3 linked regions of the Alligator mississippiensis genome follow. The protein of the gene in region 1 purifies or fractionates together with the protein of each later gene. This does not show direct contact. Links are inferred from orthologs where the notes say so. Each region holds a gene or a part of one and is shown on either strand. Other genes may lie near its edges. The genes, in order: SRSF3, LARP1 and NCBP3.

What was found.
Region 2: the proteins of SRSF3 (region 1) and LARP1 purify together in Homo sapiens (co-immunoprecipitation; 3 studies listed by BioGRID and IntAct, with this or other methods). This does not show direct contact. The link is inferred for Alligator mississippiensis from reciprocal best matches to the Homo sapiens genes SRSF3 and LARP1.
Region 3: the proteins of SRSF3 (region 1) and NCBP3 purify together in Homo sapiens (co-immunoprecipitation; 3 studies listed by BioGRID and IntAct, with this or other methods). This does not show direct contact. The link is inferred for Alligator mississippiensis from reciprocal best matches to the Homo sapiens genes SRSF3 and NCBP3.

The regions. Positions count from the first base shown.
Region 1 is NC_081837.1:35,605,687-35,615,317, forward strand, and holds the start of SRSF3 (serine/arginine-rich splicing factor 3), read left to right. Parts: upstream 1-5,662; 5' UTR 5,663-5,764; intron 5,765-6,827; 5' UTR 6,828-6,829; coding exon 6,830-7,035; intron 7,036-7,837; coding exon 7,838-7,972; intron 7,973-9,631. UniProt on the Homo sapiens protein: Splicing factor, which binds the consensus motif 5'-C[ACU][AU]C[ACU][AC]C-3' within pre-mRNA and promotes specific exons inclusion during alternative splicing.
Region 2 is NC_081832.1:76,975,459-76,985,152, reverse strand, and holds the start of LARP1 (la-related protein 1), read right to left. Parts: upstream 4,321-9,694; 5' UTR 4,120-4,320; coding exon 3,849-4,119; intron 1-3,848. UniProt on the Homo sapiens protein: RNA-binding protein that regulates the translation of specific target mRNA species downstream of the mTORC1 complex, in function of growth signals and nutrient availability.
Region 3 is NC_081837.1:9,609,859-9,619,346, forward strand, and holds the start of NCBP3 (nuclear cap-binding protein subunit 3), read left to right. Parts: upstream 1-5,484; 5' UTR 5,485-5,511; coding exon 5,512-5,658; intron 5,659-6,865; coding exon 6,866-6,931; intron 6,932-8,740; coding exon 8,741-8,846; intron 8,847-9,488. UniProt on the Homo sapiens protein: Associates with NCBP1/CBP80 to form an alternative cap-binding complex (CBC) which plays a key role in mRNA export. NCBP3 serves as adapter protein linking the capped RNAs (m7GpppG-capped RNA) to NCBP1/CBP80.

The sequences.
Region 1 (9,631 bases):
TGTAAGCACTGATGGCATCAGGCCCATTGAATAAAAGATTGCTTTTTCCCTGTGGTATAAATAGATAAGTCAGAAGGAAAGAACAGGACCTGCAAGGAGTAAACAGCTGATGGTTTGCAAATGGGTTATGAGTGCCATGATTTCTTGTTCGTTAAATTTTGTTTCAGTTTTAAGGTTTTCTTTCTATCTTGGACTTCTGCTCCTGTTGGACCTTAGTACACCAAGGTTCAAAACATGCATGTGTTTGAATGTTATGGAACGGGGAATCAAAAGGCAATGAGAATGCTATTGAGCAGAGGAAAATGAAGTGGAAATTCTCCAAAAAAGTAACATTGCATTTCATGTTAAGCCTAGTCAAGATAGGTTAGTGAAAGGGTCAATATCAGACTTGGGCAAATAGGAAAGAAACCATAGAGTCCTTTAACATCAAGCATTATCTGCTTCAGTATGTTAAAGGTTGTGAGATGCTCAGATACCATGGTGATGAGCACTGCATGAGTACCTAAGACAGCAAGTCTAGCCCTTGGTCCTGCAATGAGAAACATGGACTTCAGATACGAGTCACATATTTCTAGAACAGCATCAATTCTTATCAATATTAAACTAGCACTTGTTAAACTTTTGCTTTCTCTTCATCAAATTCATTAAACACATAGGGCCTAGACCCACCGGTTAGGTGCACTCAGGTACACCCCTATGTAGAGCTAATATTCTATCTACTAGACCATGCTTCCTATCTTACAAATCCTGAAGCCTGCCTGTGTCTTGCTACTTAAGGCAAATTCATCACAGTTCTTCCAACTTCCATTTTCTGCTTCTTCCACTCTCTTTTCTCCTCCCTGATCTGTCAGAGTCTGGACTTGACCTTGATGGAAATAAATATCAAGCCTCACAAGTTTTATCAGAAGGAGGGAGAGGAGATGGGTTAATAGGAGAAAGGATTCCTTAAAATGTTATTTCAGGGAGGATACAATTTCTCTTGGCATCTGGGGGAAATTTCTCTTGGCATGTCTGTGGAAGGAATCCCATTGGGTTCATGGGGGTTTTGTACATATTTTTGAAGACTGATGACGAAATGATTTTAACTTCTGCACTTGAACCTACAGTGAGTGCATATAGAAAAAAGAAGAGCAAGAGAGACAGAAAACACCCGCCCTGTCGGGAGGAAACTGTTTGACCACACATGGGTGGTAAAATAGAGTCCATTTCCCTTTGTTGATTGTGAAGCAACTGCTAATGCTTTGCTTTGCTGCTTTCCATTCCCCCACTTTCCCCTCCCCATCCTGACTGAGAGATCAGAGGTACCTCACAGTAAGCCCTAAGGCTATAAAGAATCTCACACCACCACACCCAACCGCATAACCCAAGTACTAAATTTTTTGTATGAGGATACCACAATTTGGGCTGTGAGTTACTTATATCACCCCACACACATCTCAGACAAGGTTCTTTGGGTAGACGTGAGCTCTTTTATTAGACCAAGTAAATAGTTTGAAAAATTGCTCTTTGCAAGCTTTCAGGCACAAGCACCCTTCTTCCAGCATAGGGAGAGACTGGTAGTGTTTTGTGTGCTCTCCTGGGTAGAAGGTTTGTGCCTGAAAGCTTGCAAAGAGCAATTTTTTTAACTATTTACTTGGTTTAATAAAAGAGATCACGTCTACCCAAAGAACCTTGTCTACCTATGTCCTTAGAGCAACACACCTACAACCAGCAGCCCCATATACATCTCATACACAGAGACAGTACGGGCACTGTTTTGATAACAATTAAACTAAGATTATTTTAGCAGTGGGTGTAAAAGGCAATGGCCAGATTTGTTGCTGTACCATGTTTTTTGATTTTTTTACAGTTACTCTGTGATATCTCTTTCCTACCTGGGCTAGCAAGGGGATAGTTGTATGGTCCAGAAAAGCAATAAGGAAATAATCTCATACAATTATTATGATGGGGAGGACACTAAAATAATGTCTGGGTCCTGTGAATAATTAAATCCTGGGGCCTGAAAACCTAACTCCAAATCCTATTGTAATGTCCCAAAAAGAACCCTTCCCTTCTTCTTTTCCTTAACAGACTAATTTCCCTTGGTCTAAAATTGAAGTAGAGAAGTGGTAAATCAGGCTAAAGGAATATTATAATCTTCCTTTTGACACCAGATTATCAGAGATGCTGAGCACTTGCGACTCCAGTATAATAAGATTTCTAGATGCTCAGTACTTCTGAAAATTAGGGACCAAGTAAACAATCCCAAGCTGCAGATGGTATTACTTTGTATGAGTGTGACTCCCTGAATCCCAGGCCTATGACTGGGCCACTAAATCTCACCCCGCACCAGATCATAGAATCATAGAAAATAAGGGTTGGGAGGGATCTCAGGAGGTCACATCTAGTCCAAGCCCCTGCTCAAAGCAGGACCAGCCCCAACTAGATCATCCCAGACAAGGCTTTGTCTAGCCAGGTTTTAAAAACCTCCAAGGATGGAGATTCCACCTCCTCTCTGGGTAACTGGTTCCAGGGCTTTGCTACCCTCCTAGTGAGAAAGTTTTTCCTAATATCCAACCTAAACTTCTCTTGCTGCAACTTGAGACCATTGCTCCTTGTTCTGTCATCTGCCACCACTGAGAACAGACTGGTGTCATCCTCTTTGCAATCATCAACCATCAGGTAGTCCAATCCCCTATTAAATCCCCTCTCAATCTTCTCTTCTCCGGACTAAATAAATTCAGTTCCCTCAGCCTCTCCTCGTAAGTCATGTGCACCAGCCCATTAATCATTTTCTTTGCCCTCCACTGGACTCTCCAAATTGTCCACACCCTTTCTGTAGTGGGGGGCCCAAAACTGGACACAGTACTCCAGATGTGGCCTCCCCAGTGCCCAATAGAGAGGAATAATCACTTCCCTTGATCTGTAGCTATGCTCCTACTAATGCAGCCCAGGATGCCATTAGCCTTCTTAGCAACAAGGGCACACTGTTGGCTTATATTCAGCTTATTGATCCAGAATAGCTGCCCTGTATCTGGGTCCAAGAAAGCAGTTTTCCTTAAGCCCCTGGGAGATAACTGTTCTTCTGGCATGGTTTAGTACCCACCAAGGCGTTGGGGCTTAATGCCCATTTTATGGAAATGGGAGGTTCCTCCCTAGCGTGCTCCTGCGGCCATATGGCTGAGGGCAAGCAAAACCTGGGGGCATCCGAACCCCAAGCTTCTGGGTTTAGCCCTGCACGTAGGATGCCTGCCAAAGACATTGGAAATATCTGAAGCCCCTAGTGGGGGTGCAGGATGTTTGCCGATTGTGGGGCCACTTATAGTTCTGGACTGACTCATGAATTTGGACTTGATTTGGCTGAATTGGCTTGGAACATGGAAATCCAGAATAGCTGCCTGTGAGCATTCAAAAGAGTGCAGTATACAATAAATTAGACAGAAATATCTAATTAGTGTAGACCATGAGGCTTCTACCTGGATCAAGTGGTATTTCCCCCTCCTTTGAGAAACCTTTAGAACAGGGGTTTTCAATCTTTTTAAACTCGTGGCAACCCTCCACCTTTTTTTTAAAAAATAAAAATAATACAGCAATTCTTCTGTTGCAAAGAACTCAGAAAGACCAAAACAGGTCAGAATGTTTTTGAACTATGCATTCCTATTTGTAATTTTTAGGGTTTATTTAATGAATCGTGTGTAGGTGTTTGCATACCTAACAGTGTTAATATTGGGTGGCACCCTGTGGCACCCTTAAAAGGATTTCACAGCACCCCAGATGAGAATCAGTGCTTTAGAACATGAGGTGATTCTGATCATCACCTGACCTGTATAATCAGTCTTTATTACAGATTGGGCTCTCATTAGCTCATAAAAACTAAGTAGGATCTACGTTTGGATGGGAGATTTCCTATACACCCTGGGTCATCGGGTCCCAAACTCTGACAGATTACGCACCGTCAATTTAAAACAATACAACCTCAAGTACCACCAGCAAATTTTTCAGTTCAACCTTAAGTAAATTTTTGTCATGTAAAGTAATTATAATAAATCTGTTAACAAGTACCACTGACAGGTTGTCTGTGTACCACTGGTGGTACCCATAACACAGATTGGGAACCGCTGCCCTAGGTAGTTGAGCTGTGTAAGGATCGGGACTATGTCACTGAGGCTTGGGACCACGTCACTGCTGCTTCTATTCACATTGCCGAGCACAGTGTCATTTTTCTGTGGCACATTTTCTTGGGCTAAAGCGGGGGCAGGCAGTTATATCAGGTGGCGGGCCGCTTACTGAGTTTTGGCAAGCCATTGAGGGCCACATGGCAGGCAGCCAGGGGCAGATAAATATTCATTTTCTAAATTTTTAGGGGCCCCGCAAGCCGGATAGAATGGCCCGCGGGCTGCATTTTGCCCACCCCGGCCTAAAGGATCTGCATACATCACTGCACCTCTCCCTGTCTCAGTTGCCCCAGTAGTAAAGCAAAGGAAATAATACAGCCTACCAAAGGTCATTGACAAACCCCCAATTTGAGGGTGATCTCTATTACGGTTCACTGGTGGGTCTTAAGAGGACTTAAGAGTCCAGTCCTTGCATCACAGAGCCATCCACAGATGTTGCAGGTCTTTCCACAGGGCAGAGTAGGCCGTAGGCTAGGATTTCTCTTCTTTTTCTCCCTCACTCTCTCTTTTCTGCTTTGAGGGCAAGATGTTTTACAATCTCTACCCTACCAAAGGATTTGAGATTCAATTAGTTCCCTCCTCTTGTGATTTTCCCTCAGTATTTGTGGTGTTCTGTAAGCTTCTGAAGGCCCAGGGTTATATCAATCAGCACCTCCAATTTAACTTAAAATGTACATTTCTAAATCTTAGGTGGGGGGTAGAAGGGGGAAAAAGCTGAACACCGTGGTTCAGAGATAAAGGTGGAGCCATGTTGGTCTAAAGTCAGTGGTCTCTTTTTATGAGACCAACTAAATGGTTGCAAAAAAAAATAGGCTTTATTTGCAAGCTTTCAAGATTGTAACGTTGCTTGCAGGTAGAAATGAAACTTCATCTTGCGCAGGAGCGGCGGAGGGTGGTCCAGGCGACCCCCGGCGTAGCGCTGCTCTTAATCGTTTCTGGAGAAACCCAGCGTTGAGCGAGACCGACCCGAGACGGCGACCGCGAACGTTTTCGACGACCCGACACAGCAACTCTCGTGGGTTATAAGGACGCCCGCCAAGCGGAATCGGATGCCGGTTTAGACCGAGCGTCGTAGCCAAACAGCCGCATACGTTTTTCCGGGTGGAAAAGTTCATTTCAGGCCAAATCAGGCTCCACGACAAGTTGGAGCAGCCCCTCCAAAACATCAAAACTCGCTCCCGATTGACTGGGCTGTTTTAGTTGCCCTGTTTGCTTGGGTCAAGGAGGCCTGTGCCCAGTTTCTGGATGCAGTGACGCTGTCCCTCGTGGCAGCACTGCGGCAGCTCCTGCTCCTGCTCCTGCCCCGCGAGGTGCCCGCCCCGCCACGCGCGCGGTGCAGGGGCAGGAGGATGGTGCAGGCCCGGGTGGGGGGAAGGGCCCGGCTGGGCGGGTTCCACGGAGCCGTCCGTCACTCGAAGCGCGCGCCGTGATTGGAGCGCCGCGGCGTCACGTGGGGCGGGGCCGAAGCGATATAAGTGCGGGCGGGGCAGGCGGCGGCCGCCATTTTGTCCAGGGAGGACGAGGGGAGTGCGGGCCCGCGCGGGATCGAGGCGGCGGCGAAGAAGTAGCAGCGCGCGCGCGATCCCCTCTCGCGCTCTCCCCCGGAATCGGTGAGGCCCTCCTCGGGGCTCCCGCCCAGGCGGGGCGGACGCAGGCGCCGGGCCCGGCGGCAGACAAAGGCCCGCCGCCATTTTGTGCGGGCGGCGGGGCCCGGCCGGGCCGTGGGAAAAAGAGCGCGGAGGGCGGGTGTTTCGCGGCGGCGCAGCCCGGCTGGAGGCCGTCTCGGCCTGCGGGCCTGGCGGGCGCTGCTCCCGCCGAGGATGGCGCCGTCCTGCCCCTCCCCCCTCGGCGCGCGGGAACAATGGAGGCGTCCGCGCATGCGCACGAGTGGAGCCTATGCCCCCTACTGGCGCCGCCCTTGCACTCCAGCGTGGGCGTGTGCGCATGCGCAGCGCTGGCTGGGGTGGGCAGCTTGAGCTCCCTTCCTGGGAAGGACTGGAGCCCCTCCCCCTCTCTGCTAAGCCCCTTCCCTTACTCCTGTGTGAATTCCTGGGAGAAGGTGGGCATCTGGCTTTCCTGCTCACTGCGCTTCCCAGTGAAGACAATGGAGCATTTCCAGATGGGACCTAGCAGGCATTTATGCGCTGACTACTTTACTGCCCTCCTCCCCCATGCACCAGAGATTCATCACTTCAGAGGATGCTCGATTAATCGAGTCTGCTGTACACGGCAAACAGCGGCATGTGCGAAATGGACGTCAGTGCACAGAAAGCAGCAGGGATGCACTTTTGAACTAAGGCTCCTCCAATGTGTTTCAGTTCAAAAGTGCCGCTGCCGTTTTCTCAGCGCTGACATGCATTTTTCCACTTGTATGACTGCGGGCGTCACACCACTGAGTGCTTTTCACAGCTCCGAGCACTGGTGCTTGCGTGTGTAAAAATGCTTTGTGTTTTCAAGGCTGCGAGTGGGATGAGGTAGGAGCCCACTTAACAGGCCTGTAGGTAGAGTAGGACCCGCTCACAGTTTTCTCATGAATTGCAAGCTAGGGGAGCCTCATCCTTTTGCCTAAGATCATGTCGTGTTGTCCTTCCTGCCCACAAGCGTGTAACGGTTGCACTTTTATAGCTGCAAGGAGAAAGAAACGATATCTGACCTGAAATGTTTTTGTTGTAGTGATGCATCGAGACTCGTGTCCGCTGGACTGCAAGGTTTATGTTGGTAACCTTGGCAACAATGGCAACAAAACTGAATTGGAGCGAGCTTTTGGCTACTATGGGCCACTGCGGAGCGTGTGGGTGGCTAGAAACCCTCCCGGCTTCGCTTTTGTGGAATTTGAAGATCCACGAGATGCAGCTGATGCAGTAAGAGAGCTAGATGGAAGGTAAAAATATCTTAACGCAGGTCACTTAAAACTAAAAATCTGAGTTTGTGTTCAACATCCTGTATTGGTAAAAGCAACCAGACAATTAGGGATGCAGAAATCTTGTAATTAAACAGCTTTATAACATAAGAGCTTAACTTTGATGGTGCATATTTTAATTGATCCTGTTCTATAGGTAGCTTCTTGCAGTTTGCACATCTGACATGAAACTGATACCTAACTGCTAATTTGAGTAAAGGGAACTTTCAGTTTGGGGAAAATAAGCTTTGGATACTTTAAAACACTAAGTTGTGTTTCTGTGATCCTTGCAACAGGGATCTAATCTTAAAATGTCTTTAAGAACAGCTCATTACATAGTGTGTGCTACAGAGCTAGTATGCAGCTGAATCTTGAAGTATTAAAAAGTCTGTAAAACAGTATTTTATTTCTCTTAACTGTTAACAGCACAGTTTTGGAAATATTCCTAAATGGCAGTACCTTGATTTCAGCTAGCTCAGACTTGATGTGCATAGAGTATACCCAGCTTTCAAGTGAAGGTAGGGGGAGATGGCACCTTTAAAGACTGATTTGTTCAGGAGCATAATCTTGTAAGTTGTTGCCTATAGAAGCACAGATCCCTCAGAACAAGTTAGTCAATAAGGTGCCACTCTACCTTCTAACTTCAGACTGCTACAGCTGTCTGACTTTCAAATATTCATCATGTAAATAAGACATTCAGATGAGTTTGTAATCTTATTCGCTTTTTTTGTGTGTAGACAAACTTGTTCCTATAAGCTTTTATAAGTACTGATGTTTATTTCAGAACGCTGTGTGGGTGCCGCGTCAGGGTGGAGCTGTCCAATGGTGAAAAACGGAGTCGGAACCGTGGTCCGCCTCCTTCATGGGGTAGGCGCCCTCGAGATGATTATCGCAGAAGAAGTCCTCCTCCTCGCCGCAGGTACACTGGGTCAGAGTACATACATAGAGAGTTGTTGGCATTGTTACCACTTAGCATCATAGAAGCAGGCTTTTTTTTAAAGCATGTTGATGGGAAACATACATCTGCTCTTAATTTGGAGATTCCAAACACTCTAAAAAGAGGTGAATACAAGTTGTGTTGAATGTTGGCTTTTGTCCTTAGGTCACTGTGCAAGTTGATAGTCAGCGCCCTCTCTCCTGGATTTATCCTCTTTCGTCCTAAGATCTATTCATCTTCTAGTCACACTTTCCCTTTCTTGCCCTTACTTCAACTTAGGCTATGTCCTTTCCTTTACTCCATAATGGCAAACATTACATACAGCAACCTAGGCTTTTCCAGGCTAATGTATTCTCCATTTTGTTTTGCACAATTTAAATACTTGCCAAGTAGGCAACTTTATTCATAAAGTAAGCCTACTTTAAATGTACAACAATCATTTTAAATATAACTTAAATTTCTAACTGAAGCGTTAGAACATAAATGTGGCGAATCTGTCACTTGTTTTGTGAACCCAGTTCTAAAGTAGGGCACATTCTTGGATCCAGGCTAGCTTGTCTGGATGTTAACTGTGCACTTCCATCAAACCTACAGCATGGTTTTTACAGGACTGAATTACCTATTGCAGGTGAGTGAAGTCCTCACAAGGCAAGGTTTCAAGCTTATCCCTTTTGCTGTTCTTTTTTTTTAAAAAAAAAAAATAACACAATAGGAGTATTTGTTAGCTAATAGATGGTTGTACTGATGGCTTGTTTTTCATTTTTTTTATGCTTTTTGGTCCATCTATTAATAAAAATGAACCCGTTACAGAGTCACCATCATGTCTCTTCTCACCACCCTCTGAGTCTGCATTAGCCAGTCAACTAGCCCTTTCAGCGTCATGTGACCAGCGCGCCCCATTCAGCTTGGCTGGTGTCGTTTCACATGACCCAGGCATGGCCAGTCGTCAGGTTGCACCGCCCTTTGGTTCCCGAGCATGCTGTTTTCTCTCAGCCTTCTCTCCAACCTTAACCAAATCGGCAGCAGCCACCTCGACCGCCCACACATTCCCGGCCAATCAGCTCAGCTGTTTATTTACCAAATGTCTTCACAACAACTACAGCAGCAGCCTTCGGCTAACAAAAAAGCAGGAAAAATCCACAACACCCCCTTCGCCAACCAACTAAATACAACGCAACATCTGGCAAAACCTTTTCAGCAAATTCTTCTTGGCAGTCAGTCCGGCAGCCTCACCTCACCATTTCTAGCTTGTTGAAACCAAAAACTAGTAAGTTTTTCCTGCTTATACAGTTTACTGCTGGTTAAAATAAGGAGTAAGCGGCTTATAAGTAATTACTTTTCTCAATCAAAGGCTGGCTGTGCATAATTGAGTGGTAACGTACATATGTTGCTTGAAAAACTTTTAAGGGTGATAAGGAAACTTTACATCTTAAAATAGAGCAAAAAGTAAAAAGGCAGTGTATATGCATGTGATGTGCGAAACTAAATTCTTAATGAAGCTCTAACAAACTTAGCTTTTTCCTGCAGAAAATCCTATCACCTTTAAATGGTTTTACTAACAGTTTTCAAAACTTAAAACAATTACTTTTTTGGGATGAACTGGGCCGAGCTAAGGTTATTTTTTTAAGTCTAAACACACTG
Region 2 (9,694 bases), on another chromosome or scaffold:
GTAATCTTAGGTCCCGGTGTTCTCCTCCTGCCCAATTCTCTGGAGACGCAGTGCATTTGAAATGGGATTTCCAGCCACCCATGGAAGCACAGAAGTGCAAGGTGTTTCCTTAGGGAAACATTCTGCTTCCTACTATAGGTACACTAAGGTGGCAGGGCTTCTCCTGCTAGTTTGGCTACTGGCTTGGTTCATTTACACTGCAAGATGTGCACATATAGCAAGCGTGTGTACCAAGGGGAAACAGCTCCCTAGCTCTTGCTACCAGACCAACAGGAAGAGAAAAGCAAGACCCCCCATCCCCAACCTTGCCAGCACCCCTGGAGCTTGGTAAAGCTTCCAACTTAAAACTTGCTTATTTGAGAAACGTTACCATTGCGCTAATCTAAAAGCCCCCCACGAATTCCCTTGTACCTCCGACTCTAGCCAACACCCTCCGACCGAAATGCAAAGCGGAGCTAGCCTCTTTCCTCCACAGTTTTGACTTTCTTTTCTTAGCATTGCAAAGAGAAACATTCATTGGTTTCTTCTGTGTGCTCTCCTCCACTTTCTTTCCTTGAGTTCCTGTGTGGTTCAATCTAACACAAGTGAGGGCTGTTTTGCTTCAATACAGCCCTCAGTCCTAGAAATGCAGAGGGTAATTTAAATCAGCTCTGAAGCTCAGTCCCAGCTGGAACGTGCCTCAAATGTGCTAGGGCAGGTGCACTCTCGATTCACCTCCAGAGGCCCTGGTAGAAATCCTACCTTCAGCAAAAAACAAAAATGAAGCTGAGACTTCATGCTCCTGCCTCTGGCCCCAGGTATGCGTCTCTCAAAGCCATAGCATGACATGAGACCATTAACTATTTCCACCCAGGCAAGCTCTTGGCCCAGAAATGGCCACGGTGCCACAATTCAGCAGTCAGGTACCAGTCAGGGAGCAGTGTGTCCAGAAGTCTGCACATCTGCTCCATGCCATTAGTCTGTCACTTCATGAGGGCTACTCTGGAGACAGATCATTAGAGCCCCAGTCACTACCCAAGGGCCTACCTACTGCTTTACACTTTGTGCATCAATTAAAATGACCACTTACGGGCTCAGGCCCACTGCAGGTCTGGGGTCTGACAGGGTCAGGGCCTGGCAGCGCTCTGCACTTCCAGTGCAAAGCCCAGTTCCAGGAACGGCTCCTGGCCTACTTGGGGTATTCTGAAAAAAAATATTAAAAAGCTTTTGCTGCGACTTGCCCCATTTCGAGCAGGTGGAAAAAATTCAAAGACCCTGCTGGAGCCCACGCAACACACGCCTAGACGTTTGCTTAGCCCAGAAGCCCGTCTCCCCAAATCCACAAGCTTCTGCTTTAAGCAATCCTCAACCAAAAGTAGTTTGAGAAGTTCTCTCTCAATAGGAGAAGCCTCCAAAGCCCAGCAGGAAGCCCAGGCAGGTCTCAGCTGTGAGTCTGCCTATCCGAGGAGCTTGTGACAACCGTGTTTATTTTACAAACAGTTTTCTCTCTCCTCTTGGTTAAGAGGCAGCAGAAGAAACAATGCCCCAGAGCAAAGGAGCAGGCTAATATTGACAAGGCCGGCATTGTGAGAACTACGGCCACCTCTGCCAAGCTCCAGAAAAAGGCACCGCAACTCAACTGCACTATTTAAACACCTTGGAGAATAATACTGCGACTCTTCGACAGAGCGCAATGGATTCCTTCCGACAAACACCGTCTTCTTCATTTAAAAAAGACAAAAAAAGCCTGGTGTGCCATCTAATACTTAACACAGACTGGATCCTTCCCAAAGTCTACTGTTTTGTTCCTCTGAAGGGTTTCCCCCACTTTGTAACCAGAATATTCCTTGCTGGGTGCTCCTGACAGCCTGAAACATGAAGGCACAAGAAAAGACAGATAGTCAGAGCAGACCTTGGAAATCAGTCCATCCCATTTGTACCGGAAGGATGCTGCCCTGTATTTTTAAAAAAGGTTTAAGACAAATACTGCAGTTCACGAAGGCTGCCCATAGAAAACAACACCGGGAATACACCGAAGAGAGAAGACGACACGACCAACCTGCTTCAGCAGCCGGGATCCAGAATGTTTATACAGCACTTTAAAAACGCTGGCAGTCTTTGGCTCCTCTCTAGGGAATGGAGAGGGCCCAAGAAAGCAGCATGATGAAGCCTCATCGCTGCATGAAGGCGTGATAAAGCCCGCTTCCCATCATCCACCAAGACGTAAACCCAAGACGGCAAAAAAAAAAAAAAAAAATCTCGCTTGGATTTTGTCGAGACAAGTCATTTCCCTATCATCGCCTGGGATCCGGGCGCGCCACAGTCTCCGCATGGATATATATTTTTTGGGCAACGTTAATTTATCTTCTGTATATTATCCCATGCAAACCAAACACCCTTGCACCCAGATACTGCAGAGCTGTCCATCTTCCACGGATCAATAACTATGATGATTCATCATATTAGGTAGTACTAACTTTTTGGGAAAGGGAAAAAAAAAAAAAAAGAAAAAAAAAGGCTAGCACGCTCACTGCTGCTGTCATAGCCGGGAAGGCCATTTCAAGCGTGCAAGGGAAGGCGAAAGAGGCAACAAGCCCCCTCGCCAAGGAGGCCACGATATAAAACTCCCCAGGATTTATTTTCTTAGTTATCGATTCCCTTCATTTTATCAAACAGTTCCCCGAGGGAAGTGATCTCTATGAAAGCAAGCAAGAAAATGGAGGGTTCAGCATTTCCAGCCCTGGCCTACAAGCAGCGGTGGGTGAAAGATGGATGATTGGGGGGGGCATGCCGGCAAACCCCTGCTCTCACACCCCTTCAACCCCCCTCCCGGTTCTTAAAGGAAGGGTGAAGTAACGCTGCAGAGGCGCCATTGCAACACGTGGGATTACAGAGCCGACAGGGATTCCCAGAGGAAGAAGGCACAAGGGAGTGCTGGACCCCCCAAACCAACCTCCCCTGCCTGCCCACCCCCCTACCCCCCAGCCAGGGCTGCCGCCGGCCCCCAGCGCTGGCAAGGGCACGGAAGGGACAGGCTTGCGGCCTGCATGCCAGCGCCGCCAAGGAGGCAGGAATGCAGGGCCCTGCTGCAGCGTGGCCCACGTGGAGGGGGGAGCAGGGCCAGACACACGTGTGGGGCCGCGGCAGGCGGGGAGGGAATCCCCCCTTCCCCTGGGGGCGAGCCAGGGCAGGGCAGGGCGTGGGGGATGGGCAAGGAAGAGCAGACCCTCCCCTCCCCCACTCCCACCCCTTTGGGGCGCGGCTCTCCCCTCCCACCCCCTCCCCCCCGGCTCGGCTTTGTTGGGGGGGGGTACACCCCCGATCCGCACCGGGAGCAGGCCCCACGGTGCAATCGCATGAGGGAAGAAACCACGTTGCCTTCGCGGCGGCGGCATTCTGGGAAGGGAGGAGGGGAAGGGAGGCCGCGGCGCACACGCGGGGCGAGCCAGCGCCGGGCCCCGATCCAGCCTGCGGCCTGGGACGTCGGGGCCCCGGGGCTGGAACGCTGGGACCGGGCCGGAACGCTCGGGGGTCGGATGGAACGCTGGGACCGGGCCGGAACGCTCGGGGGTCGGATGGAACGCTGGGACCGGGCCGGAACGCTCGGGCCCGGATGGAACGTTGGGACACGGGCGGAACGTTGGGACACGGGCGGAACGCTCGGGCCCCGGGCGGAACGCTGCGACCCGCGCGGCGGAAGCCCCGGCCGGGAGGCGGCTCCCGCATGGCCCGGCCGCGCTCCGCCCTCGTGGCTCACCCAGGCCGCGCCGTGCCCGCATGACACGTCGAGTGTCCCCTTCCCCGGGGCCCGCGGGACACACCCGGGAAGCCTCCTCCCTCCCCCCCCCCCCCCGGGGCCCGGCACCCACCTGGCGGGGACTGCCCGTTGACGACGGCCGGGGCGTGCTTGGTCCAGGGGTTCACCTTGGGCGGCGGCGCCTCGATGAAGTCGCGGCGGGTGGCGGCGGCCGGCTCCTCGCCCGGCGGGGCGGCTGCTGCTGCGGCGGCGGCGGCGGGGGGGGGCTCCGTGTCGGCCGGCCCGCCCCGCTCTCTCTCCCGCTCCGGCTGCGGCTCCTCCGGGGGCGGCGGGAGCAGCAAGGCGCCGCCGGGCAGCAGCAGCGCCTCCACCTCCGCGGCCATTGAGGGGCTCCGGCTGCGGCTGCCCCCGGCCCCGATCCCGCTCCGGCTCCGGCTCGGCTGCAAGATGGAGCCGCGCGGGGACCACGCGACTGCCGCGGGAGCGCGCTCCGCTCCCCACCCCCCGGCCCGGGGCCGCGCGCCGGGTGCGGGAAGGACGGACGGACCGACGGGCGGGCGGGAGCGCGCACGTGCCTGATGCAACCCGCGGCGGGGCGGGGACAGGGGAGGGACTGGGCCGGGCCCGGCCAGGAGGCGGCGGCGGCCGGGCCCGGGCCCTAGAGCCGGCCGCGCCTGCCCCTGCCAGCAGCTAGCGCCCCCTGGCGGCTGCCCCGGGGCCCGGCCCCTCCGCGGGGCACCCCCTGGCCGCGGGGGAGAGGAGCCCTGTGCACCTGCTCATCGGGGCTCAGTGCTACAGCTGATTTCTTGCATGGCACCAACAAGCTTTTTTGCAAAAAATAATAAAAAAAACCCCTTTCATTGCAAGCTTTCGGGCACAAATACCCTTCACCTAGTGGCAAGCGCTGCCCTGACCCCAGCGCTGAGATTTCCATTGAAAAACCCAACACGGCTGGAGCTGGGGGGAAAGGGAAATGAGGGCAGAAAGTCCTGCGGGCTTTCATCTCGCCCCCCGCTCTGCCTGTATTGCTGCACAGAGGCAAGGAGCCGCTTTGCTCGGGACAGTTGCGTCCTTGGGATAACATCACAACGCAAGGCAGGCATTAAGAGGCCTGTCCCGGGTGGCGAGACCCGAGGACGAGCGTCCTGCGTCGTCCAACGTTATCCCGGTGACGCGGAGGGCCCCGTCCAGAGATGGCCCAAAGAAATCCTTGCCTCTCGCGCCATTTCTGGACCGTCACGGCTACAACCAGGGCTTACAACCAGCATCGGCTCACCACCAGCGTCTGACGTACCTGGACAGGCATTTCCAACCGGGCTGGATAATTTGACTGTCTGGCACCTGTCGACGGTCACCGAGCCCCTGCCAAATTCACACCGTTTCCATACTCCCGAATGCAGTTCAACGAGAAGGCAAAAACGACCTAAAACAGCAAAAGAGTAAATGATGAAAAGCCCCAAAACATGACTGCGTGCTGTGCTGTGACATTGATACTTTAGAAATAACTCCGATTCTGGAAGGCGTCCTATATCCACGAAAAGGCTCTTGCACTATCACACCTTCTAGATGTACACGGCAATCCTCTACCCCTAGACGGCATTAGCTTTTGTCAAGAAGAACTGAAATTTAACGTCCCGTGGGGGCTGCATCTGTGCAGCGAGTCAAAAGGCTCCCAGGAACACGGGAAACGCGACAAGCTGCAATAATGCACTAGCTCCGGGGTGGTGGCGGCGTGCGGAGAAGAGACGGAAGGGTGGGATTTTATAACTTAGCTGTTAACAAGATAGAGGAACTGAGGGAAAAAGCATGGAACAAGCACGGGAAAGAAGAAACCAATGGGACCTCCTTGGCCCTGAAGGATGAGTGCTGGGCCTAATCCAGAAGGGCAGCAGGTCTAACAGGTCCATGGAGGGTGTTTCGATTGACCCACCAAGGACCCGGCACTGAGAGCATCCTTCCACCAGACCTTAGCAGCACAGGCCGTCCAAAGAGTTGCAGGTAATATGCTCCCACTCCACACATGAGTCCATCGCAGTCTCCCACCTGAGCACAGAACGGGCCAGGACGGTGGTTTTGGGAGCAAGGTCCCAAAACAAACGGGACACGAGGACGTTGCAGGACTTGGGCCTGATGGAAGGGAGAGACGGGCAGTGGTGGCAGCATGCAACTTCCTTGCACTCTTCCTACAAACCGTGACCCCAGTTCAGGGCAGCGTGTGCACCCCCCAAGGCACCCCCGATGGCAGTGCTTCCCAACCTTGTCTGCAGCATGACCCCATTTACGGCCCCATTTCCTCAGCATGGCCCTTCACCCCCAACCCCGTGACCCCATAGTTTCATAGTTGGTAGGGTCGGAAGGGACCTGAGCAGATCATCAAGTCCGACCCTCTACCCTGGGCAGGAAAGAGTGCTGGGGTCATCCGCTGATGTGACCCCATTTGGGGGCGCGACCCAGAGTTTGGGAACCGCTGCCCTACTGGGAAAGAGCAGGCCCTGTCAAAGTCCTCTCTGAGAACCAGACAGGTGACACCTTCATCCGAACACCATCTTCAAGCTGGCTCGCATGTGCAAACCTGACTGCCCAGCTCAAAACCAGCCAGGCCAGCACATCAGTCAGAGTATAGCAGTGAGGAGCACTTGCTGCCCCTTTCCGATGGGGCCGTGCGCCTTCCCCCCCATACCAGCCCACTGACAGCACCTGTAAAACCTGCGTCACATATATGCCACCCCCTGAGCTTGACATGAAGCAGTCAGTCACCTGCATGCTCTACCTGGGTGCCATGCCGCCATGGCCATCTCCAGGGACTGGGGAAGATCAAAATATCTCAGGAGCTAATTCCCAGCAAGATAAAAGAAACAGACTTTGCTGTGATTCTCGCCACCACCTTCAGTCTCCTGTAGGACTTACTGGGCAGGTGTAGGCACAAATGACATAGGATCTGAATATCAAAACCCAGGGGCAAGCAAGGAGTTTCCCGCAGCACTTAAGTCCCTTGCTCTCCGGCCCATGGACGCGTGCACAGACATCCGTGTGACTGCCATGCTCCAACCCGCGCCACACTCCGTGCATGCTGCTGCGTGCAGGAACGCACAGCCGAGCCTGCAATGGCGAGAGGACGGACTTAACGGCCTAACAGGTTTTCTCATTTAACTTCTCCGAGTCAGTAACACCCACGCGGAAGAGTACACAATGCATGCTCAGACTAGCATTTTATTTCAGTCTCTTCCTCATGCAGGGGATGCGCAGAGGACGGGAGATTAATGGCCTGACAGCACCTCGATATTTTACGCTGTCGTCTCCATTGCAGGCTGTGGTTTCCAGGGCGTCGGTTACTCAGCAGTTCTGAACGGCGGCTGATTTTTCGCGTTATGGCCTTCCTACAGCAAGGGCCTTCCAAGCTGAGGGCGTTTCACGAGAGTTTTGCTGCATGCACACCAGGTAACCTGTGTCCAGCGACTGTTTTCAGAGCACCTTTGTGTGTCTAAGTGATTTCCCCCGGGGCTCTGATCATGCCTAGGTGGGTGGCCCCCGCTACAACCTGCTGCTCCCATCTTAGTGGTTGTGCTAGAGCGACGCCTCCAACAAAAGAATTAAATCTACTTTTTTATTCCCCTCCAAAGTAACCTTTAGCAAGGCTTTGTGAGAGCAAGCAGGGTGAGGTGCTGGGGAAAGGGAATGCCTGACGCTGCAGTGCTTGTCGCGGGAAATGGGACAGATGCACTGTCCCATCGTTACTGCTGAACCGCGTGGGACTCACCCAGTAGCCCAGGGCCACGCCGCCTGGCGAGCTAGCAGCACGTCTCCTTTGCCACACCTCTGTGCCGCTAGCACACGGGCAGCACCAGTGTCTGGGACTGCCTTGCTTTAGAGAACATCTGCCAAGTTAACAGAGATTCTCCAGGCCTGCTCGAAGGGTGCATCTGGAACCAAGAACAGCGCTCTCAGACACCATTAGTGTGCGAGCCAATGCAACCTTGATGCCAACATTTGAGACTGCGGGTGAAGAGAAAGGTGGTGAGGACTAAGTGAATCTCCAATTTAAGTATGGAATGACCCCAGTAACCAGGCTGCAGAGGCCAGGAAGCATCCTTGCCTGCCTTTTAAGGCCTCTTTCTCTCCCATCCCTCTCCCTCCTCCCCAGATCCTCTCACTATTCCCCAAGTCACTGAGAGAATTGTGAAGCCCCTGTATGTTGTAGCCTCACAGATGCCAGAGAGACTTCCAGTGTCTATCCCAGGCTTGGGAAGGTGGTAGACCTGCTGTGGATACATACCTGGTGCTGGACGTCCAGAGCGGAGCAGTCAGACAGAACAGAGATCCTGGTGAGATCCTGGAGCTCCCTCACCTGTGCAAACAGCGCTGGGGGGAGGGAAGGGGGACTCACCTGGGCCAGGCTGTGAGCGTGCTAGGCAACAGCCTTCCCAACAGCCTCGAGGCTGAAGGAAGACAGGCCCTTCACAGCAACACAGGCAGCAAATGACACAAACTCCAGTGCATTAAAGAGACAGGCTTGGATGGTGACAACCGACCTCTGCCTTATGCCCCGGGTGGGGTGAGAGGCAGAACGGATGGGATGGTCACGGCATGAGAGAGCTGGGCCCAGGCAGAGAAGTCTGGCTGCAGATCCAGCGTGAGCCTCTCCCGCGGTCTAGGGATGCTCCAACACAGGGACCTGGCTCGCACGCTCTCCAGTTCAAATCAAATCCTTGCGTGCCAAAACCCCCATGACGCCGGCCTGCTCCACCCCTCCCGCAGCGTTCACCCACATTCCCCAAGCAACGTGGGTTGAGCGGGCTGTGATGAAAAGCTTGGAGAAGTGCAGCAGCAAGGGGATGGTTTGAGACCTCAGGCGCCCCCTTTGCACACTGACTAAGGCTCTTGGCTCTTCTGGTCTCCTCTCCAGCACCTCCACTCCCCAAAAGCAAGCGTGCCTGGGGAGGGCTCCGTCCACCTCTCTGCAGGTGAGCTGCCTTCACAGCAGGCGCAGGCAGAGCCAGGGTAAACACGCCAGCAGCTCCTAGCAACCAACACACAGCTCCAGCCCTGCCCCAGCTGTCCTGGGGACTTCCCTTCCCTTCCCAGACCTATTGAAGCCGGAGGGGTCAGTGGTGGAGCCTGACGTGAAGCGGTGGGTGAACAAGCTCAGCCCGGCACGCCTGGAGCCTGGCGGTCCTCAGCATCCTGCAGCCAGAAAGCCCGTGCAGCGGCTAACACACCAGTGCCCCGTGACGGGGGCGGTCAGCCAGGATTCGGGACCTTGCCAGGCTGCGGTTGTTAAGAGACACTGATGACATGAGCCAGGCATTACTTGGACGCAATCCTGCGTGTTAACAGACCGTGGCCTCAACAGCCCGTTTCCCTGAACACAGCAGCAACACACAGCAGGCGGCTGCCTTGATTGCAGCACCCCCCAGTCTGCCTTTCAGCCAGGCCTCTGGCATAAGGAGCTCTGCCTCTGCGTCCTCTTAGGGATACCCTCTGGCTGCCTAGCGACTATTTCCCTCTATGTCTGACACATACAGCTACAGCCAAACCATATCCCCAGCCCTCACGTTTGCACAGAAATCCCTGTCTGCATGACCAGGCCCTTACGCAGCCTCCCGCTGCAGCAGCGATTTCCAGCCACCTTCCACCATTGGAGGTCCTTCATTATTTTGTCCACTGCAACCCAAGGGAGGGTGGCTAGCATCCCTGTCAACTTCAACAAAGACTGCAAGGCCTGTAGGTCGAAGACATGCTTGCTGAGAGCTGAAACCACCTCCAAAATCAGCGCCGATGCTCAAGCAGCACTCACCCTCCACAGGTATGAGGATGAGTGCAAGAAAATCCTCCCAACCCACTGCCACAAATACAGCTCTTGTGTTGCTCTTAGTAGGCTACCTGAAGGAGGATGGTGTCAGCAGTCCTCCCAGTGCCAATCAGGACCACCATCACTGCCCCTGTGGCTAGTCTTAGTAC
Region 3 (9,488 bases), about 26 Mb from region 1:
AGCTCTTGGGAGCTGCGCTAATTGAAGTGCCTCTCTGCTGCATGTGTATAAACGCCCCAGCAAGGGCTATCAACCTCAGCTTCTGCCATAGGTTTTGGAGCCTGGGCTGAGCCCTGGGCTGCCACAGTTATACTGCTCCCAATCCCTGACCTAGTTCATTTGAAGTTAGCTTGAGTGTCATTACATTACATAAGCTGCAATGTTGCCAGTGACTCCAGTGTGGACATATTGGTGGGTAACTAAGAGTGGGACCCCGCATAAATCGGGGCTGTGCCTTTCTATAAGCATGCGCCTGTGTGTGTGTGTGTGTGTGTGTGTGTGTGTGAGGATGGCAGCTGTAAGCACGACTGGTTACAGTAAGCACCCTGCTTTTCAAATTAAAAATCACACGTTCCTCCAAGTAGAAGGAGTTTCATTTTCCTTGCAGTGACCGCTGTGGAGATTGAGGCTTCAAAGTATGCCTGAACTCCCCTGTCGCCAGGTCCCAGAGACCTGAGGCAAGTTCCATCCTCGCTGCAGAGGAGCTGATCTGCTTTGAAGCCTGGAGGAGTTTGGCTGGTGACTTCAAGGGAAGCAGATCAGAGGCCAAGAACTTTGCAGGGAATCACACCCAGCAGCAGATTTCACAAGGTGCTGTGCACCCAGCCCATGCAGCACCAGGACCAGCCCCAGAGTAAAGCCTGTCCCCAACCTGGGGAGAGTCAAGCCTAGAGGCCATGATTTAAAACTGTTGACATGGCCTTGATCCCAGGCAAGGTCCAGAAGCACAGTGTGGAAGCCAAGTTGCTGTATGGGGCCTCCTCTCCTGGTTGTATGAAGTGTGGGGTGTTTGCTTTTGCTTTTCACTGGTTCTCAGCATTGCCTCTCCCATGTCCAAGACTAAAGAAGAGGCAGTGGTGAACAGGCCTCTCCCTCTCCAATTCATTTCACTAACTGACATCTCTTCAGTGACCAGGGCATAAAATTAAAGCATTTATAACTAATATGGACAGGGCAGCCCCACAAACCCTTGGGAAGTGTCCCATAGAGCTGAATAGACAGTTCTCAGCTTTCTCGAATTTAAGGAAGACTCCTAGCCCTTCCTTAAAATTCTGTGGCATGGGTCAAAAACCGTGTTGAGCCCTATGATATTTCCTGAGGTTTCCAGAAGCATTTCTAGATACCTGTGTTACATTTCTAAAGGATTCTGTTCTAGCTCTGATAAATTCTATGAGGAGTTTCCATAAGGGAATGCATATATAAAAAATGTGCTGCCTTTGCATACCAGCGGTCAACAAATCTTCCTAGACACAGACGCCCCTGAATGTGACAGACAGCTGCAGTAGTGAGTAGCCAGTCTAATCTAATTTCTCCCTCAGCTCTCTCTTTCTGTCTCCATCTCTCGAACTTGGAAAGTTAAGTTTGCGTGGACAGGCTGACATGCAAATTCTTGCCATGTCACAGGTAAATCTAACTTTTTTTCCCAGCTGTTCAGCTGGTCTAATAAAAGATATCACATCTACCCAAAGGACCTTGCCTGCCTATGTCCTTAGACCAACATGGCTACAACCAAAAATCCATCTACCTCTTGTAGGCACTTCTGCTGCCCTATTGCTGAATCTTTAATATACTCGCCATCACAACGTCCATGGAAGGTAGGGGAGTGCTCTTATCCCCATTTCACAGTGGAAAATGAGACGTGGAGAGGTCAAGGGCATTTGGATATTACTCCAATGCCATACCCAGGAGCACTGCTGTGACCCACGCCACATGTCCTCACTCCCATGCCGCAGCACCGACTCCCAAGAGGAAACAGAGCCACCCATGAGCTTGCACTGCTGAGGCTCACTGTCTCAGGTGTACCGAGTAGCGTGGGTATGAGTAGTCTGTCACAGAGCGGGGCCTTCTCTTGTGGCCTAAGTCCCTACCCACTAGACCATCCTTCCTCCTGAGAGCCGGCCATTCTTTCAGTTTTGAGAGAGGTTGCCTTACTTTGGGTGGGACGAGTACAGCCCAGGTAGCAGCTGATCCATATCTGCTCCCAAACCCTTCAGCCCACTTCATTTTGGTTTGTCCTCCCAGTGCAGAAACGCCTGTCTGAGCGGCAGCCGCGCTCATTCTTGGTGCAATTCACTGCATTTGAAGGGCAGCCATGCCAGGGTCCTGCACTGAGTCATCAGGACCAGGCAGGACGACAAAGCAGCCTTGCAGTGACTAACACGTCCCTGTTCTGGTCACGGAGTCACGGGAGCTTTATGTTCTGTGCCACAAGAGCCAAACTGTTCACCTCTGAAACTCAATTCAGATCATTACCAAAAGACTCCTTCCATCAAGTGCATTCAAACTCCTTTTGTTACCCCATGGCTCCCTTTGCCCCCTGCTTTTAGCTTAATCCAGACACTATACCTGAGGCTTTGGGCATTTAGATTACACTTTACTTTTCATTCTGTAGCAAAGACATTTTATTGCAAGAGCTCCCTCTGGTGAAAAACTATAGCACCAGCACTTCCTCACATGAGCACACAGAAAAGCAGGGAGACAAGTCAAAGCCTCTTAGGACAAGTTTTGGGTTTGCAGCAGTTGTTGTTTTTATTAGTTTCCCCTTTAACAAAACCCTTAAAGGTAACAAACACAGAGATGGGAGAATTTTTTTTCAATTTAGTCCTCGTTAAAATGTTCAGAGTCTGGGAATGCAAAACTCTTGGTTCAGAAAGGATAAGTTTTATTAGATCAACTCGGTTGTCTCACACCAATACGGCTACCAAATACATCCCAGATTCTGGGAAGCCACTCAGTGCCATTTAGCAAGGTTTCATGCACTAACAATTCACTTAAACACGCCCCAGCAAATGAACACACACGTGACATACTAGTAAGTATCTGGCAGTTGTTGGAGAGAGGTGTGACTTAGCCTACTCCTGGTAAAGGTGCCCTAAATCCAAACCAAACCCCGGCTGCAAAACCCTGGTGAATTTGGAACAGTTTAGACCCGGGCTGGTAGGAGGTTTGCAAAAGATCCCAAGGTTTCGGCACGGTTCAGAAACATGTGGCTTATTTCTATTCACTCTGCAGGCTGGAGCAGCATGCCGTCACGCCGCTGCCTTGTAACCAGCTCAGGGAATGCAGCAGCTTTCCATTATGTAAATAGGGGTCCTTTCATTTAAAGCAAAAGCCAAAGAACAACTGAATCAAAACTCAAAACAGCAGTGATTCAGAGCTCAGCAGCGACTCTCATCCAACAAGTACACAACAGAAGTGAGCGTAACAATTCCCCGGAGGGAGATAACGGACCATGTACAGAGCAGGAATACAGTCAGAAAAGGGAGAGACAGGCCCCTGGTATAAAGAACCCCTGCCACTTTTCAGGCCAGAAGATCATGGAGCTGATGAGCTCCATGAGAAACTTCTTCCTGCTCTCCTGTGGTCAAATAAACTATCTTGCTACCAGCGGCTCTGGACTTCATATTTTTAACTGTTCTTTCTCAGGAGTCTTTACACAAAAACAAATTGCAGCCTCCCTTTCCAAAGGCCTACAGTCACTTATTCAGTACTGATACCACATACGCAGAATCTGCCTGGAGTCCACACGCAAGCACGAACGCCGTGTTTGCAAACCCGATGCACACAGGATAAATTGTAAAGACTCCACGCATGCCAGTCGGCCGACACGGTGGGTCTCTCTCACGGAAAGCATGAAAACGCACAACACGAGCAAGAGCAAGGGCTTCCGAAGAAACAAATCTCCAGGGCGTCAGAAGAAACAGAAATGTTACGCGCGTGAAAGTTCACGGAGGAGGAGGGAAAATAAGATCTCAGCTTTCCTACCCTTCTGGTCTTGAGGCCATGAGCAAAACACGATTCGATCTCGGCGGCAGCTGCACGACCGAACCATTGAATCAGCAGCACGTAGCGCTGAGCTCCCCAGCACGGTTGCGAGTGCAAGGTTGAGCTCCCCAGCACGGTCGTGAGTGAGAGGCTGAGCTTCCCAGCATGGTCATGAGTGCGAGGTCAAGCTCCCCAGCACAGTCGTGAGTGCGAGGTCGAGCTCCCCAGCACAGTTGCAAGTGCGAGGTTGAGCTTCCCAGCACGGTCATGAGTGTGAGGTCGAGCTCCCCAGCATGGTCGTGAGTATGAGGTCAATCTCCCCAGCACGGTTGCAAGTGTGAGGTTGAGCTTCCCAGCACGGTCGTGAGTGCAAGGTCGAGCTCCCCAGCATGGTCGTGAGTGCGAGGTCGAGCTCCCCAGTACAGTTGCAAGTGCGAGGTTGAGCTCCCCAGCATGGTTGTGAGTGCAAGGTCGAACTCCCTGGCATGGTTGTGTGTGCGAGATCGAGCTCCCCGGCACGGTTGTGAACGCAAGGTCGAGCTCCCCAGCATGGTTGCGAGTGAGAGGTTGAGCTCCCCAGCACGGTTGTGAGTGCAAGGTCGAACTCCCTGGCATGGTCGTGAGTTTGAGATTGAGCTCCCCGGCACGGTCGTGAGTGCGAGGTTGAGCCCCCCAGCATGGTCGCGAGTGCGAAGTTGAGCTCCCCAGCACGGCTGCGAGTGCGAGGTCGAACTCCCTGGCATGGTCGTGTGTGAGAGATCGAGCTCCCCGGCACGGTCATGAGTGCGAGGTTGAGCCCCCCAGCACGGTCGCGAGTGCGAAGTTGAGCTCCCCAGCACGGTTGCGAGTGCGAGGTCGAACTCCCTGGCATGGTTGTGTGTGCGAGATCGAGCTCCCCGGAACGGTCATGAGTGCGAGGTTGAGCCCCCCAGCATGGTCGCGAGTGCGAGGTTGAGCTCCCCAGCATGGTCGCGAGTGCGAGGTCGAGCTCCCCGGCACGGTCGTGAGTGCAAGGCACAAACTGGGGGGGCCTCGAGCGTGTTCAAGCACCTGCGTCTCCTACGCGGGAGCTCAGCAGGTTTGGGTCTGGACGGGGGCCCGATCGAACGCCCGTCGAAGTCAAGGAGAGTCGTTTTATCGATTTCACGTGGCTTCGGTTCAGTTCCCGAAGTTTTAGCGCAGGTTGGGGAAAGTCCAGCTATGCAGCAAGACACATCGCACGCAACCGCACGGGGGGGGGAAGGGATGAGCACATTCGGAGATTTATCGTCGTTCGAGAATCGGGACTCGGCTTCGAAACGGCAGGTGCTTCGGTTCAACCGCTCCGGCCTTCGGTGCCGGCGAGGAATGGGCAGCACCAAGAAACGAGGCGTTGGCGCCCCACACTAGAGCGCAGCCTGGACTCGCTGCCCTGAGTCGTGTCAGTGCGAGGGGGCAGACACGGGCCCGAGCGGCGGGAACGAGGCGCCGCCTGCACTCCGCCGCAGGGAGCACCACAGGCGGGAGGACCTACAGAGGCGCTCTATCCCCCGACCTCTATGACGCTGGGGACGCTCTGTCCCCACAGCGCGCGCCTCTATGCTCGTGGCGGGGCGGGGGGACGCTCTGTCCGCCAATCCCGTCTCGGCGTGCCTGGAGGCCGGCGGCGACGACGCTCTAGCCGGCGCGCCTCGCTGGCCGTGAGCGGAGGGCGGGCCTGGCGGGGCGATGGCGGCCGTGCGGGGCCTGCGGATCTCGGTGAAGGCGGCGGAGGCGGAGGCGGAGGCGCGCGGCGCGGAGCCCGAGCCCATGGAGGTGGAGGAGGGGGAGCTGGAGGCCATCCCCGTGCGGCGCTCGCTGCGGGAGCTGCTCCCGGTACGGGCCGCGGGGGGGGCGGGGGGCTCCGGCCTGCGCTGCGCTCCCCTCCCGGGGCACCGCGGACTCGTCCGCGCCTCGAGACCGGGGGGCGGGGTCGCCGGTGCTCGGGGGGAGGCACTGCGTCACTGACCCCCTTCCCCTGCCCAATCAGCTGCTCTGCGCTCTGCTCCCTGCCCTGGGCTTCCCGCCCAATCAGCTGCTCTGCTCTCTGCCCGATCCGCTGCTCTGCTGTCTGCTTCCTGTCCTGGGCTTCCTGCCCAATCAGCTGCTCTGCTCCCTGCCCTGGGTTCTCTGCCCGATCCGCTGCTCTGCACTCTGCTTCCTGCCCTACCTGTTGATCTGCACTCTGCTCCCTGCCCTGGGCTTGCTGCCTGATCTGTGGCTCTGCGCTCTGCTCCCTGCCCTGCCTGTCACTGGCTTCCCTGCTCCCTCCCTGGTCGGCCCTTGTCCCTCGTGGCCCGCATGCCCTAGGGCTTGCCACCCCTGGGTTAGCGCAGCGCTTTGTGAATGCTGCTTTACTAACCGATAGGAATGAAAGTCCTTTTTATTTTTCCCCTCCAGGTCACCGTGTCATTTATGGGTTTCTTTGGTCATAATAGGCTTGTTCAGAAGAGAAGCGGGGCGGTGACTGACGCTGAGGTTTTGGGGAACATGGTTCAAGCAGCGGTGGCAAGAGAATGAATGCTAGTTTTAGTGCAAAAGTTGACTTTGTGATGACTTTTTTTCCCCTTTGATAACTAAGTACTGAAAACGTATCCTTTTTAATGTAATCGGATTACATGAAGCCCGTTTGAGCGGTTGGAATTGGGTGGAAACCGTACTTGAGATGCCGCGGAAAAAAATCATGGAAATTAGAGACGGAAAAGATGTTTCATAATCACTTCCACTTCCTTGCTGTAGCAGAGTGAATTCCACCCTTGTGAATGCAGATATTTTAAAAGTAAATATCTAAGATGCTAAAATAGAGTGAATCTTTGCAAAAAAGTGTAATGATTTTTGATCCGTTCTGTTTGCTTGTAACTCCATTGACCCTGGTGAGAATTGTGCCTGTGTGGGTTGATGCCGCACTAGCTTGGAGTCAGGAGAATAAAAAGGGATGTGTTTTTTCTTTCAGAGCTGACTACTAGGTCAGATCTTATTAGTTTAGCAAGCTTGCTGCGTTTAGCCGTCATCCAGCATTTGTTGTAATTTTGCTTTATTGTAGGACACTAGCAGAAGATACGAAAACAAAGCTGGAAGTTTCATTACAGGAATAGACGTCACCTCCAAGGTAATATTGTCAAGTGTGATCCCTTTTTAAAATTTTGTATTACTTAATTGAATAGGAAGCATTTTCCTATGCTTCCTAAGGTGGTGGCTTTCAGGGGCCCGTAGTCCCTTTTTAACAGCCAGAGATAAGACAATAAGATTCTAGAGCTTTTTCACATGCTGTAATGACTCTTTTATACTCCAGCATTTGTAATTTACAGAATCTAGAAAGTAGACAAGCTTTTTGTGGAAACCCTGAGTCAGGCATCTTTTTTTTATGGTTGTATAGTGAAAGATTTAGCTGTGGGCAAAGCTTTTGTACTCCACCAAGAATGTCTAATACTGTTTCTAAAAGCTCTCTGCATTTGCCAAAAAACAAGGAGACTCTTATTGGAATTGCGGTGGTGCCACTCCACATCGCAATGCCCTTTGAATCAAGTCAGCTGAATTTTTCTTATTGTGCAAGTGACAAGGGAAAGCAAATGTTTGGCAGGAATACTGGGCTCCATTGGCTGGCGCTGTCTAAGGGCATTATTTTGTGGACCATTTACAGCTTAAACTTGCAGCTGGTCTCCTGGCTATGTGACATAATTTTAAAGCACTGGCACTTCCATATGATGCATCATTTCACCTTTTATCTGTGTAGTGCTCCAGTACCATTTAAGCCTTTATATCTTCAGAGCACTGCAAAATTTGAACCCCTGCAACAGCAGTGCTGATGCGTGAGTTATAGTCTCGTGTTGCAGTGGGAAAACCCAGAAGTTCGTGTTTAGGATTGAAAAACTTTTCTAGTTCCTAGTCACTACCTTCTTTGCGTTGGATGCTTGCAGTTCATTTAGACATTTAATGTTAAATTATCAAGGAAAAAAATCTTCCTACTTTGTTATATTCCTTAATGATATGCAACATTAATAACTGTGGGGAAAGAGAGGTGATTCTGTATAATGAGAAAAGTTTGACTTTTTAATCAGTTTTCAGAGATTTTCAAGGCAAATCTATCCTGAAATTATATCAATCAGGGCAATTCTTGCTTAAGCATTTGCTAACGTACTGAGTTGTATTTTAGTTCATGCCATTGAAAGCTGCTTAAAATGTCCTGTTAATATCCTATTAATTTGAATCGGTCCCAAGAAAGAAAACTAATGTTTCTCTTAAGAGATTGTATAAGATCTTTTGTATCCCTGCTGCTTAGATACTATGCTAATGAGCTCCCCAGAAATAGCTTGGATTACCAGCCAGAACAAGATTTCTATTGTTGGCTCTCCAGTTAGTATTGGAGAAGTGCTAACATAAAAAATATTCCCAAAAGCCATATGTTGCCAATTTTTTTTCAATTGCCTGAGAGCTCTGTGTGATCTGTATCATCTCACTTGTTTCTGTTTTTCCATGAAAGCAAACCAGTAATCTTAAAATAGAAGTTTAGCGTAGCCAGATGGAAGAAACCTTTGCTTTAAGAGAGGGCTTCATGAACTTTGGCTTTGTGTACCTATTTTGCTGATAGATAAACATGGTTATCATAGAGCTTAAAAACTTGCAGAGTTGCAGAGTGAGTGGCAGACAAAGCATCATGATTCTTATTATATTGCTCGACCCACAAGAAAATAAATCACTTTGTGCACCCATAATTGAACCACAGTTGTTCTTTAAATTCTTTTGTTTCTGCATCTGTTTTGTGTTGTATTTTGAGTCAAGAAGGCCTGTTGATAACTAATAAAATCTTCAAGTATCACTTCCTTGATTTGTGTTATAAGCATCTCATCTTGCTGTTGAACTTGTTTAGAACAATGCACACATTTCCTTTCTGACTGCGTATTTCTCTTGTATTTTTCAGGAAGCAATTGAGAAAAAAGAGCAAAGAGCAAAGCGTTTTCATTTTCGAGCTGAGGTGAATCTTGCCCAAAGGAATGTGGCATTGGACCGAGACATGATGAAGAAAGGTACAGAAAGTGCCATGACTTTAGCAAAGAGTTGAAAAGTGGACTCTCTAGTTTTAATAGCTATACTACCTCACTCCATAAGAGATGCTGCACAAAGAAGGGCTTTGCTAAGAACAGTAACTTGTATTTTACACTTCTTTAGTTTTCATATAGTTTTAATTTGAAATAATTTTTTAAATGATCATAAAGTGATGGAATAGACGATTTTTGGAAGAAATGGAATTACTTTGAGCAGATGCTTTAATTTACTGCTCTGGCAGGTATGCCTAGTATTGCATGTAGATTAGCTGTCCAAGGAAGTCATCAACACCCATTTATATGACAGGCTCCATAAAGGTCTGGCTCTTGGATAACTGATGAAAAAAATGCCAAACCTTAAACAAATCAGTCGTTTTCAAAACATGGGTGAAGAGTTCTTTGAACTCTGTTGAACATCATCTGTCATGGTGTTACAACTATGTTTTCCTGTTTTTATTTGAAATGTTTCTTTTCTTCGTTGCTGCGGTGAAGTACCCATGGAAGCAAAAATAAACTAAGTCCCCAGTTATGCAAGGGCATTAGTGCAAGTGGATCCAAATGTCTGCATGTAGTTGCATAAAATCCCTGGGGCTCCGTGTTGTTAGGATTTAGGCCACCTTCCTT